Macaca fascicularis: one gene and its partners. The protein of the gene in region 2 purifies or fractionates together with the protein of the main gene of each other region. This does not show direct contact. Links are inferred from orthologs where the notes say so. Each region holds a gene or a part of one and is shown on either strand. Other genes may lie near its edges.

Region 1 (3,749 bases), on a different chromosome or scaffold from region 2:
TGCTAGGGAGATAAAGAGAGCCAAGTAGTTTGGATAAGCATAATCTCATGCAATATAATCCAGAAACAAAATACTGACTGGTAAGATTGTATAGCTTTAGAGAAAGGGAGGAAAATAAGGCTTTGCTGAGGTCCTTTTAGAGCTGTGTCTCAAGAGGCGTCTGCTGCCTATAGATCAAGGGCAAACACTTTTTTCTAGACAGTCTTGCCCTGTCACCGGGCTGTAATGCAGTCGTTTGATCATGGCTCACTGCAGCCTTGAACTCTTGGGTTCAAGCGATCCTCCCACCTCAGCCTCCTGCTAAGTAGCTGGGATTATAGGCGCACACCACCAAGCCCAGAAAAGTTTTTTAATTTTTAAATTTTCTGTATAGGCTGGGCACGGTGGCTCACGCCTGTAATCCCAGCACTTTGAGAGGCCAAGCTGGACGGATCACTTTAGGTTAGGCGTTCGAGACCAGCCTGGCAAATATGGTGAAACCCAGTCTAAACTAAAAATACAAAAATTAGCCAGGTGTAGTGATGCGCAACTGTAATCCCAGCTACTTGGGTGGCTGAGGTATGAGAATCGCTTGAACCCAGGAGGCAGAGGCTGCAGTGAGCCGAAATCGCACCACGGCACTCCAGCCTGGGCAACGGGGTAAGACTCTGTCTCAAAAAAACAAAAACAAAAAAAAAAACAAAAAAAAAAAAACAACTCCGTAGAGACAGGGTCTTGCTTTGTTGCCCAGGCTGGTTTTCAACTCCTAGGCTCAGGCAATCCCCCAGCCTCGGCCTCCCAAAGTGCTGGGCTGCAGGCATGAGCTATCATGCCCCACCCAAACTCTAATGTGACATAAAAGGCCCTCCAACCTCCAGTCTCAATCTCCCACCAGCCTCTTTCTCCTTAGGCCCCACCAAGCACAAGACCTCAACACCGAACCACATACTATTTAATGAGGCCAGCATTTTCCCACCTTCAAGTCTATATACATTAGTCCCTCTGCCTGGAATACCACTCCCACCCTCAGCCACAGGCACCACCTTTCTGGATTATCCAGGATGTGCCAGGCCATAAGTAATTTTTGTCGCAGACCTCAGTGAGGTTACAGTCCACAAGGAAAAAATATCAGCAGGTAATTATACAATAAAGCCTGATGCACATGAAGGTCAGGGAACTACAGGATGCTTAGGGAATATCCAGCAGAGGCCTAGCTTAGTTGAGGGGGTAGGAAAAGGCAGTCCTCATAGAGGAACTGCTTTTTTTTTCCCCCCCTTTTGAGACGGAGTCTCATTCTGTCGCCAGGCTGAAGTGCAGTGGCACAATATCGGCTTACTGCATCCTCCGCCTGCCTCCCGGGTTCAAGCGATTCTCCTGCCTCAGCCTCCCGAGTAGCTGGGACTACAGTACAGGCGCGCGTCACCATGTCCGGCTAATTTTCTTATTTTTTTTTTAGTGGAGATGGGGTTTCATCATGTTGGCTAGGATGGTCTCGATCTCCTGACCTTGTGATCCAACCACCTCGGCCTCCCAAAGTGCTGGGACTACAGGCGTGAGCACTTAGTCTGGGACTAAGAGGAACCCGGCCGGACCTCTCAACCTACATCTAAACAATGCCAACCAAAGGGAGTATGGAGTAAAGAAAGGTATCTCAGCATTAAAAGAAAGAAGTTGACTGGCAAGGTGGCTCACGCCTGTAATCTCAGCACTTTGGGAGGCCCAGGCGGGCGGATCACTTAAGGCCAGGAGATCGAGACCAGCCTGACCAACATGGTAACCCGTCTCTACTAAAAATACGAAAAACAGCCGGGCGTTGTGGCGCGCGCCTGTAGTCCCAGCTACTCGGGAGGCTGAGGCAGAAGAATCGCTTGAACCCGGCAGGAGGAGGTTGCAGTGGGCCAGGATCGCGCCACTGCACTCCAGCCTGGGCGACTGCTATGTCTCAAAAAAAAAAAAAAAAAAAAAAAAAAAAAAAAAAAAAAAAAAAGCAAGTTCCAATAAGTTCAGTGTGGCTGGGGCAGAGATGCTAGAGAAAGCAGTGAGAAACTAGGAAAGGTGGGTAAGGACCAGATAATGAAGACCTTTGCAAGCCTTCCAGTGTGAAGCAACTTTAACGTCTAAAGCAGAGGCGTCATGATTAGAAAGACGTTATAGATCTTTGTGGATCTGGGCAAAGGAAGAATCCTTGAGCAGCAAACACGCCCCCGGAGTCGTCCAGGTTAGAAATGGCGGTGGCCTACACTAGAGACACCGCAGAAAGGACTGGAGAGAAATACATGTTAGTCGGAAAAGAAGGTAGAATCTCCCGACACAGTAGTGACCAGCTGGGAGTAAAGGTGAGAAGGGTATCGGTGGTGACTTCCGGTTTCTGGATCCCGCCGGTAGCCGAGGGGCGACGGCCGACCCAAAGCTCACCTCCCCACTGCACGCCGCCCCTGGATCGGTCCGTGTCTCCTTGGAGACCGTGGAGAACAGAACGGCCGGCGTGCGGTTTTCGCTTTGCACTCCTGGTGCCCAGACGGCGCTGCAATCCAGCAGAGGAGCCCGAGGAGAGGCGCGGAAGCTCTGGGTGCACACGCCTGGCCCGGGACTGGGTAGCCCAACCGAGAGGGCGGCGGGTTCCGCGGCCACGCAAGAGGCGTCGGGGAAGCAGCGGAGGCCTTGCGTGCGCGCGGGCTTCGGCCTCCAGATTCCGTGGAGTCCCAGGCCCGATGCCCCCGGGGCTGGCCTCCTGCCCTACGTGGGCCCCGCGCGCCCACCTGGAACTCACGGTGGCGGATCCGCCTTCACCTGAGGGTTGCAGCACCGGCTCCAAGTGCGCCTGCGCCGCGCATGCGCAGAGCGCTCGCCTCCCGGCTTCGCCTCCCAGACGCGACGGGGCGGAGCGGAAGCGCTAGGAGCACTGCAGGTTTCGTTATCCTGTGTTAGGTCACTCCGGAAAGGGGAAAGCAGCCCACAGCGTCGCGCGGCCCGGAAACAACACAACGAGGCCCCATCTTTTAGATTCGAGTTTAGGCCCCGGGGTGGAGGCTCCGGACTGGGCCCCCTACAACGGCAGTGCGCAGGCGCGAGGTCTGTATCGCGAGACCATAAAGTTGCCCGGGTAACCAGACGCTCAGGGCTTGGACCTTCTAGTTGTTCCGAGGCCAGCCTACCGCCAGTGGTATCCCGAGGGCAGGCTCTCTCCGGGCGTCTGTGCTCCCCTCTCTCTTATAACCCAGTTTCTACCTTTCAGTGCCTGGGAGTCTTAGCCCTCTATCTCTATTCCCTTTTCTGTATTTGCTTTGCCTCAGGGACGCACAACCCCAGCCCCTGTCCCAGTGAACCCGTCGCCATGGAATCCCTGCAGACTCCCCAGCACCACGAAAATCAAGATAAAAGGGAGAAGGAGTGTGGGGTAAAACACATGCCTATGGGCAATAATGCAAGGAATCTTGAGCTCCGAAAAGAGAAAGGCGATAGGAGTTGCCTTGAGTTCAGCAACAGCTGCGCGGAATATCCTGTCCGGTGTACGCTGTGGCTGCTCCAAGCAATGGAGGCTAAAGTTACCATCGGAGTCGCTGCAACGTCAGGGACAAGTGATGAAGCAGCCTAATAACATTTTAAAACTCAGGAATCTGGATCCGTTGATCTACCCTTGGCCAGAACTTAGAAGACGGCAGGTTGCTTCTGACCTAATGAGCCCCCTCCTCCTCCCCGGTTTTTCCGGCCTCACTTGGGCCCTCTTCCTTTTCCTCTTCTATATATCTGCCTCCTTTTCTCACTCTCTT
Region 2 (2,913 bases):
TCTAATCTTCTGATTGTATGTTTTTTTTCTGGAACAAAATATCCTCAAACGTATGTCTCCAACTTCATGTAGGAGTAGAAAATTACTGAAGCAGCTGTCAGCCTGGTGTGGGCCCAGTTCTGAGGACACTCGGGGAGCCCGGCGAGCTCCTGGCAGAGGCCAGCAAGGATTGACCAGAGAGGCCTGCCTGTCCATCTTGGGCCACTTCCCCAGGGCCCTGGTGTGGGTCAGCCTGTCCCTGCTCAGCAAGGGCAGCCCCGAGCCTCACACCATGATCTGCGTCCCAGCCAAGGAGGACTTCCTCCAGCTCCGTGAGGACTGGCATTACTGTGGGCCCCAGGAATCCAAACACAGTGACCCATTCAGAAGCAAGATCCTGGAACAGAAAGAGAAGAAGAAAAGGGAGAAGAGGCAGAAGGCGGGACGCGCCTCTTCTGATGGCCCAGTGTGGGAAGAGCCCGTGGCTGGGCAGGAAGCTCTGACTCTGGGGCTGTGGTCAGGCCCTCTGCCGCGTGTGACGATGCACTGCTCCAGAACTCTCCTAGGCTTTGTGACTCAGGGAGATTTTTCCATGGCTGTTGGCTGTGGAGAAGCCCTGGGGTTTGTTAGCTTGACAGGCTTGCTGGATATGCTGTCCAGCCAGCCGGCGGTGCAGAGGGGCTTAGTGCTACTGAGGCCTCCCGCCTCTCTGCAATATCGATTTGCGAGGATTGCTATTGAGGTGTGAACGTGCGCTTATATCCCAGCAGGGCATAGATAATACGTTATTATTGTCTGCCAAGTTTCACATGTGGAGAGTCTGCTTCTGCTTCAAAACATCATGTGAAACTCCTTGGAAACAAGAATAAAAAATTATGTATTATGCAGATGATAAAATGTTTACATCATTCCAGTAATGTCATTGATTTCCATCTTTCCCTGTCCTTGCTGTAATACTTTTAAATTATTGGGCCAAAAGCTTTGTATTATGATCTCTTGGTCTGTGTAGTTGTGGCTGAAAATAATTAGAAGCTCTACAAGTTATCATCCCCCTTTTTTGTTAGGAACAAAGGGCTTGTCAGGTCTATTTGAAAAACCTTGTAGTCATGTGATAAGCAACAATAGATGTTTAATGATTTCACTGTTACAACAGAAGACAAGACAAGACGCTTGGCCTCTGGACATGAAATATGGGCCCCTGATGGGCCACATTCAATTCTGTACTGTGATTACCATGCTGAACAACTCAAAGGGAGAAATCATGGACAACTGATTGCTACCTGTTTTCAGGCAGGCAAAGTTTATGGCGACAGTGCTAGGCTGGAATTAGAAAGGGGGGGTCTATGACGTGGACTTCCTGACTCTTTGATCTCTTTGTTGTTGACCAACACATGATCCTACTAGTTACTTAATTTTTTTAAGTAAAAAAATTATTATTGTTTTGTTTCTGCAAAGAATTTCTCAAAGCCATAGAGGAGCATTTCTCAGATTGTGTTCTATGAAATGTGTCACCACCAAAAATAAGAGATTCCAAGGTCAGGTTGATATGGAAACTCTGGGTTAAAGTTAAGCATTTCTTTATGAAAGGACTTCTGGAAACTTCCATGTGATACTGTACATTGTTGATCTCCAGGAAGGGAATGATAGTGTATAGTATTTTCTAAATACTTTGATTCCTAAAGTTCTCTTACAAGGAGCACTTTGTAGGACCAGTGTTCTTAGGAGCGCGCTTTGGGCAGTGTGGCTGTGTAGTGCATAGCTACCTCTGCAAGGTGATAACTAAGCCGGCAAGCTGCCTTTCGGCATTCATGCAGTCACATTGTCCACCTGAGATTCTCAACAGGGTATAAAAGAAAGGTGTTATCCTGCCCCACGGGAAGAGTGGGCTCAGTGTGACTTTTTTTCTACGAATGGAGAAACTCAGTGCTCATCTACTTTTAGTTGCCACATACGGCTCACTCATAGCCTTGGTCCTTAACTTTCCTGCCATAAATTTCTAGAAGAGCATAAGCGGGATTTTTTTCTAAAAATTGTAAATGTGCAGTTAGGCATTATTTTATGTAAATGCATTGGGTTTTTACTGTAGCGTTTGGCAGTAAATAGCTTTGGGGATGATGAGGTGGGGAAGGATACGGCAGGTGGTACAGTAGTCAGAAAGTACCTGCCACCAATGAGATGTCTGATGCTTTGCCTCTCACCATGCCTCTGAATGTCTTTGGATCCAACCCAGATGAGACCGAGAAAAACCAGTGTAACTACGTGGCGCCTGTAAACAGAATAAATGAAAATGTCACCTGATGTTCAGTTGTGAATATTTATTGGACCATTCCTTATTTGTTTTCTGGGCTCTCAGTCACCTCATTTGTGGCTGAGCTCACTCGATGACAGAAGTCTGAGTGTGCTGCGTGGTCACCTAACCTCATTCTGTGCAGCCCTGCCCTCATTATAGAGGACAGGGCACGTTTGCAGCCACTCTGCCTTGTGGGTGGTAGGTCAAAGAGCTGTGCACCAGAAAGATAGACTAGTATTTCCCAAAATGTATTCCTGGGAGTACTAGTCCCTGCAGCTGTTCCTGGAGAAAAGTGTTCTATGGCTAAATAAATTTGGGAAAAGCTATATATGGTATCCTCCTATTGCGATTCACAATGAATAATTGTATAGTCAAAGCTCTGCAAAGCTCTTTAGGAAAGAAATCTGTCTTTCAGACCCCACACACGTACCTTTTTTGGTTTTTGCATACCTATTGTCCAGAGAAAACTAGTTTCACAGAAGATACTTTGAAAAACTAACAGAATCTGCAGAGGCAGTAAAGAATCCATGTTCCTTATGAAAAAGACTGATAGGGGAATGGCTTACTTTCTGGCAGCTGAATTGATTAGCATGTTGATCTTGATCCTTCCAAGTGCCTGCCATGCTGTACTAGAGCTGCGTAGC
Region 3 (3,557 bases), on a different chromosome or scaffold from region 2:
GGAGGCAGCAGCTTATCAGGAGGCCTGCAGTGATTCACAGCCCAAGTCCCAGCTTCTCTGCTGAATAGTAATTTCCAGCAGTGGATTTGCGCTCAGTCTCTCTCCTCCCCTTTTCCCAAGGGTGTGCTGTCCTTTCTCAGAGAGAGGGCAGCGAAGGGGAGATCCTACTCACGGAGCTGGGGGCTTTGTGCCAGCCTTCTGGGTAAGGTTCAGTTTATTGTCTGGAGGCTGCAGGTTCAGGGACCTCAGCAGGGTCTGCCACCCTTTGCAGTGACCTCCAGGAGAGTTCATCCATGCTCTCCTTCCACTCCTTCCTTTCTCTCCCAGAAAAGCAATGTGCCACTCCCTTTCCCTTAGTGGTGATGTACAGGGGAGCATGGGCCCCCCATGGGCCACAGCTCCTGAGGCCAGGGCCAGCCCGGGAGGGCAGAGTGGGGGAGGAGAGAGGAAAAAGCCAGGGACTGGGAAGTGCCTTGCACCATTTTGAAGCTGTCCAGTCTCTATGCCTGACCCTGAAGACTCCAAAGGATCAGGACGCAAGGCTGGAGGGGAGGGGAGACACAAAGGGCCAGGCCAGAGCTGTCTCTGCACAGGCGGGTGGTTAGAAAAAAATTTGGGGACAGAGCCATTTTTGTGCTTGTTTTATTGGAAGCAAGACTCCAGTTGCAGGGCTGGGGGAGGAGGCCTGGAGGGTTCAGTCCTGGGTCTCCCTCTGGGCCAGCAGGGGGAAAAGGGGTGTTAAAAGAGCTAGAACCCTCAGAGATGCTCCTCTGAAGCAGGGGAAGGAAAACTAGAAAGGAAAACTGTCCCAGGGCGGGGAGTGGAATAGGACCCCCACATCTCAGACTCTCCTACCCTCAAGCAGTCAAGTCTCACCCCCTGCCTTCTCTGTCAACGGTGGGGGTGATTCCAATAACTCTTCTCGGCTTCCGCACTCCAGGTGCCCTTCGTGAATGCTGGGTGGCTTTAACCCTTGGGGGTCCCAATCAGGTTTCCAGAATCCCACTGTCCACCATTCTCCCCCAAAGAAGGTCCCAGAAAAGGTGAAGGTGAAGTTCCGTGTCTTCAGGCAACACGGGCATAAGCAGCAATCATCGCACGAAGTTTCCCTAAGGTCGTCGGGGATCCTCTCCTGCCACTTCTGGGGCCCCTCTCTTGTCGCCTTAAGGTCCATGCTATCTGCCTTGAGGAGCTGTGTCCAGGTTGTGGGTTCCGGAGGACCGAGGAGTGAAAGGCTGGAGGTGCATTTGAGGGTGGAGGCGCTGGCGGAAGATCCCGCCCACAGTCCGGAGTTTTAGGCCGTCCGATCCTCGTCCGCAGCCCCTGGCTCGGGTTGCGATCGCTTCGCGGAGCCTTCTCCAGCTGCGGGTTCCCCTAGGCTCCTCTTGGACGTTGGCGCGGCTGGCGGGGACGACGGACCAGGATCGGGGTTCGGGGGCTGGTAGCCGGGCTGTCGCGGATCCAGCGCGTCCTTGGAAAGTAGGATGGCGAGGCTGGGCACGTTCTTAAGTACGCTGAGACTAGCGACCGGCTCGCCAGGCGTCTGACCCTGCGTGGGCCCAGGCGGGAGGCTCTGCCACACCTCGCGCACGCTCCGGTAGCGCAGCCGCGTGACCTGGTGCAGGCCCGCCAGGCGGCGCTTGAGGATCTCGGCGCACGTGACGGTTTTGGTGGTGGCCCGGCCGCAGCCGCTGAAGACGATGGCGCGCGTGGCTGGCTGCGCCATGCTGGCGGTGGCGAAGGCCATCAGGTTCCGGATCTTGCTGCCTTCCTTGACCCGCATGTGCACCGCGCCCGGCGCCAGGTCTGCGAAGGGGCCAGAGCCCGGGCCGCCCCCCTCGGCCCCGCCCCCCGCTGGCGCCTCTTCGGAGCGCACCTTACGGAAGTTCTCCATGCGCCGTCGTCGCCGGGACCGCCGGCTTTGCCATGGGGCGGCCTCAACCCCGGGGCTGCATGGCCGCCGGTCTCGCCCTGCAAGGGCCCGCAGGGGTAAGGGCGCGGAAGCAGCTCGGACGCCGGCGGGCGGGTTGGGACGGCGCGATCTCGGCCCCACTTCTCTCGAGCGGGCGCCGCTCTACTCCGCGCTCTCGGCGCCCGGTGCTCCGCGCCTTTAGCTGAGGCCCCGCCCCTGCCGCCAGGCCCCTCCCCTGACCCGGCCCGGCCCGGCCCGCCCGGGCCCCAGCCTCACCAGCCTTTCGTGGCAAGTCCGGGTCCTCAGCTACGCGGGCGTGGGAGCTGGCGTGGGAGCGGGCGCGCTGCGGGGCGCATGGGCAGGTGAAGGTGAAGTTCCACGACAATCGCCATCAGCGCTCTCCGAGCCAACCCTCACAAACCGGCAGCCTAAATAAAAGCTGCGCTTGCGGTGCAAACACCAATTCAAACCCGGTATCCTAGCCCTTCCCCGTTGCAGTTGAAGGCCGCCCCTCGTCCCCTCCCAGGGAGAAATTTCCGAGAGGCTTGCTGGGGCCTCGCCCCTCCTCTCCCCGCTGGGGAACACCCCCACCTTTTTTCCGCTCCCAAGTATTCTTGCCTCAAGGACAGCTAGTGCGCGGTCAGCAGAGTGCGGGAGGAGCTGGCTGCGGCTCCACTCCGCGCCTCCCCTCGGGCGACTACGTCGCGGCGTGGTCCTCGCGGGGCGCGGGAGACCCAGGCTTCAGCCTCGCCACGCCTGTCTAGAGCTCGAGGCTCCCGGACCCCCGTCCACCCCTGGGACGTGAGGAGTGAGGCTTTGGGCCAAGCTGTTCCCCGAGGCGCGTGAGGAAGCGGGCGAGACCTCTTCTGAAAAGGCGGTAGGCTCGCTCCACCTATGCCCGAGAGCCCACCCTTAGGGCTGCGCGCTTTAGGGTGAGCCAGGCACGATGCCATGCCAACGTGGCCGCCCCTTTCCTCCCAGGCGAAATTCGATCAGGCAACCTTGGCCCCTTGAGATCCAGTGGGTCTTTTTTCGAACGGAGGCTGGGTGAACGCAGGTTTTAAGAAAGAGAAGGGAGGGGCCGGGCTCGGTGTCTCACACCTGTAATCTCAGCACTTTGAGAGGCCGAGGCGGGCGGATTACTTGAGGTCAGGAGTTCGAGACCAGCCTGGCCAACATGGTGAAAACCCGTCTCCATTAAACATACAAAAATCAGCTGGGTGTGGTGGCGCGCGCCTGTAATCCCAGCTGCTCAGGAAGCTGAGGCAGGAGAAGCGCTTGAACCCGGGAGCTGAAGGCTGCAGTGAGCCGAGATCACGCCACTGCACTTCACCCAGGGTGACAGAGTAAAACTATGTCTCAAAAAAAAAAAAAAAAAAAAAAAAAATTAATTAAATAAAAAAGAAAGAGAAGGGAGGGAAAGCCCATTCTCCATGATGTGATTATTATGCATTGCATGCCTGTATCAAAACATCTCATGTACCCTCTAAATATAGACACCTATTATGTACCCACAAAAATGAAAAAGAAAGACTTTAAAAAAATAAAAGAGAGAAAGAAGGGAGGAAGATGGGGAGTTGAAGCCCTGGGGGCATTATAGAGCTACTGGATGCCTCTCTTCGGAAACTCCTCGGGACCGAAGGAG

The links.
Region 1: the proteins of POP1 (region 2) and RPP38 purify together in Homo sapiens (affinity purification with mass spectrometry; 3 studies listed by BioGRID and IntAct, with this or other methods). This does not show direct contact. The link is inferred for Macaca fascicularis from reciprocal best matches to the Homo sapiens genes POP1 and RPP38.
Region 3: the proteins of POP1 (region 2) and RPP25 purify together in Homo sapiens (affinity purification with mass spectrometry; 3 studies listed by BioGRID and IntAct, counting the BioPlex papers as one, with this or other methods). This does not show direct contact. The link is inferred for Macaca fascicularis from reciprocal best matches to the Homo sapiens genes POP1 and RPP25.

What each region holds. Positions count from the first base shown.
Region 1 is NC_088383.1:16,009,883-16,013,631, reverse strand, and holds the start of RPP38 (ribonuclease P protein subunit p38), read right to left. Parts: upstream 2,805-3,749; 5' UTR 2,750-2,804; exon of another isoform or gene 2,395-2,749; intron 1-2,394. UniProt on the Homo sapiens protein: Component of ribonuclease P, a ribonucleoprotein complex that generates mature tRNA molecules by cleaving their 5'-ends. Also a component of the MRP ribonuclease complex, which cleaves pre-rRNA sequences.
Region 2 is NC_088382.1:107,799,542-107,802,454, forward strand, and holds the end of POP1 (ribonucleases P/MRP protein subunit POP1), read left to right. Parts: intron 1-72; coding exon 73-727; 3' UTR 728-2,277; downstream 2,278-2,913. UniProt on the Homo sapiens protein: Component of ribonuclease P, a ribonucleoprotein complex that generates mature tRNA molecules by cleaving their 5'-ends. Also a component of the MRP ribonuclease complex, which cleaves pre-rRNA sequences.
Region 3 is NC_088381.1:52,083,345-52,086,901, forward strand, and holds RPP25 (ribonuclease P protein subunit p25), read right to left. Parts: upstream 2,084-3,557; 5' UTR 1,895-2,083; coding exon 1,295-1,894; 3' UTR 629-1,294; downstream 1-628. UniProt on the Homo sapiens protein: Component of ribonuclease P, a ribonucleoprotein complex that generates mature tRNA molecules by cleaving their 5'-ends. Also a component of the MRP ribonuclease complex, which cleaves pre-rRNA sequences.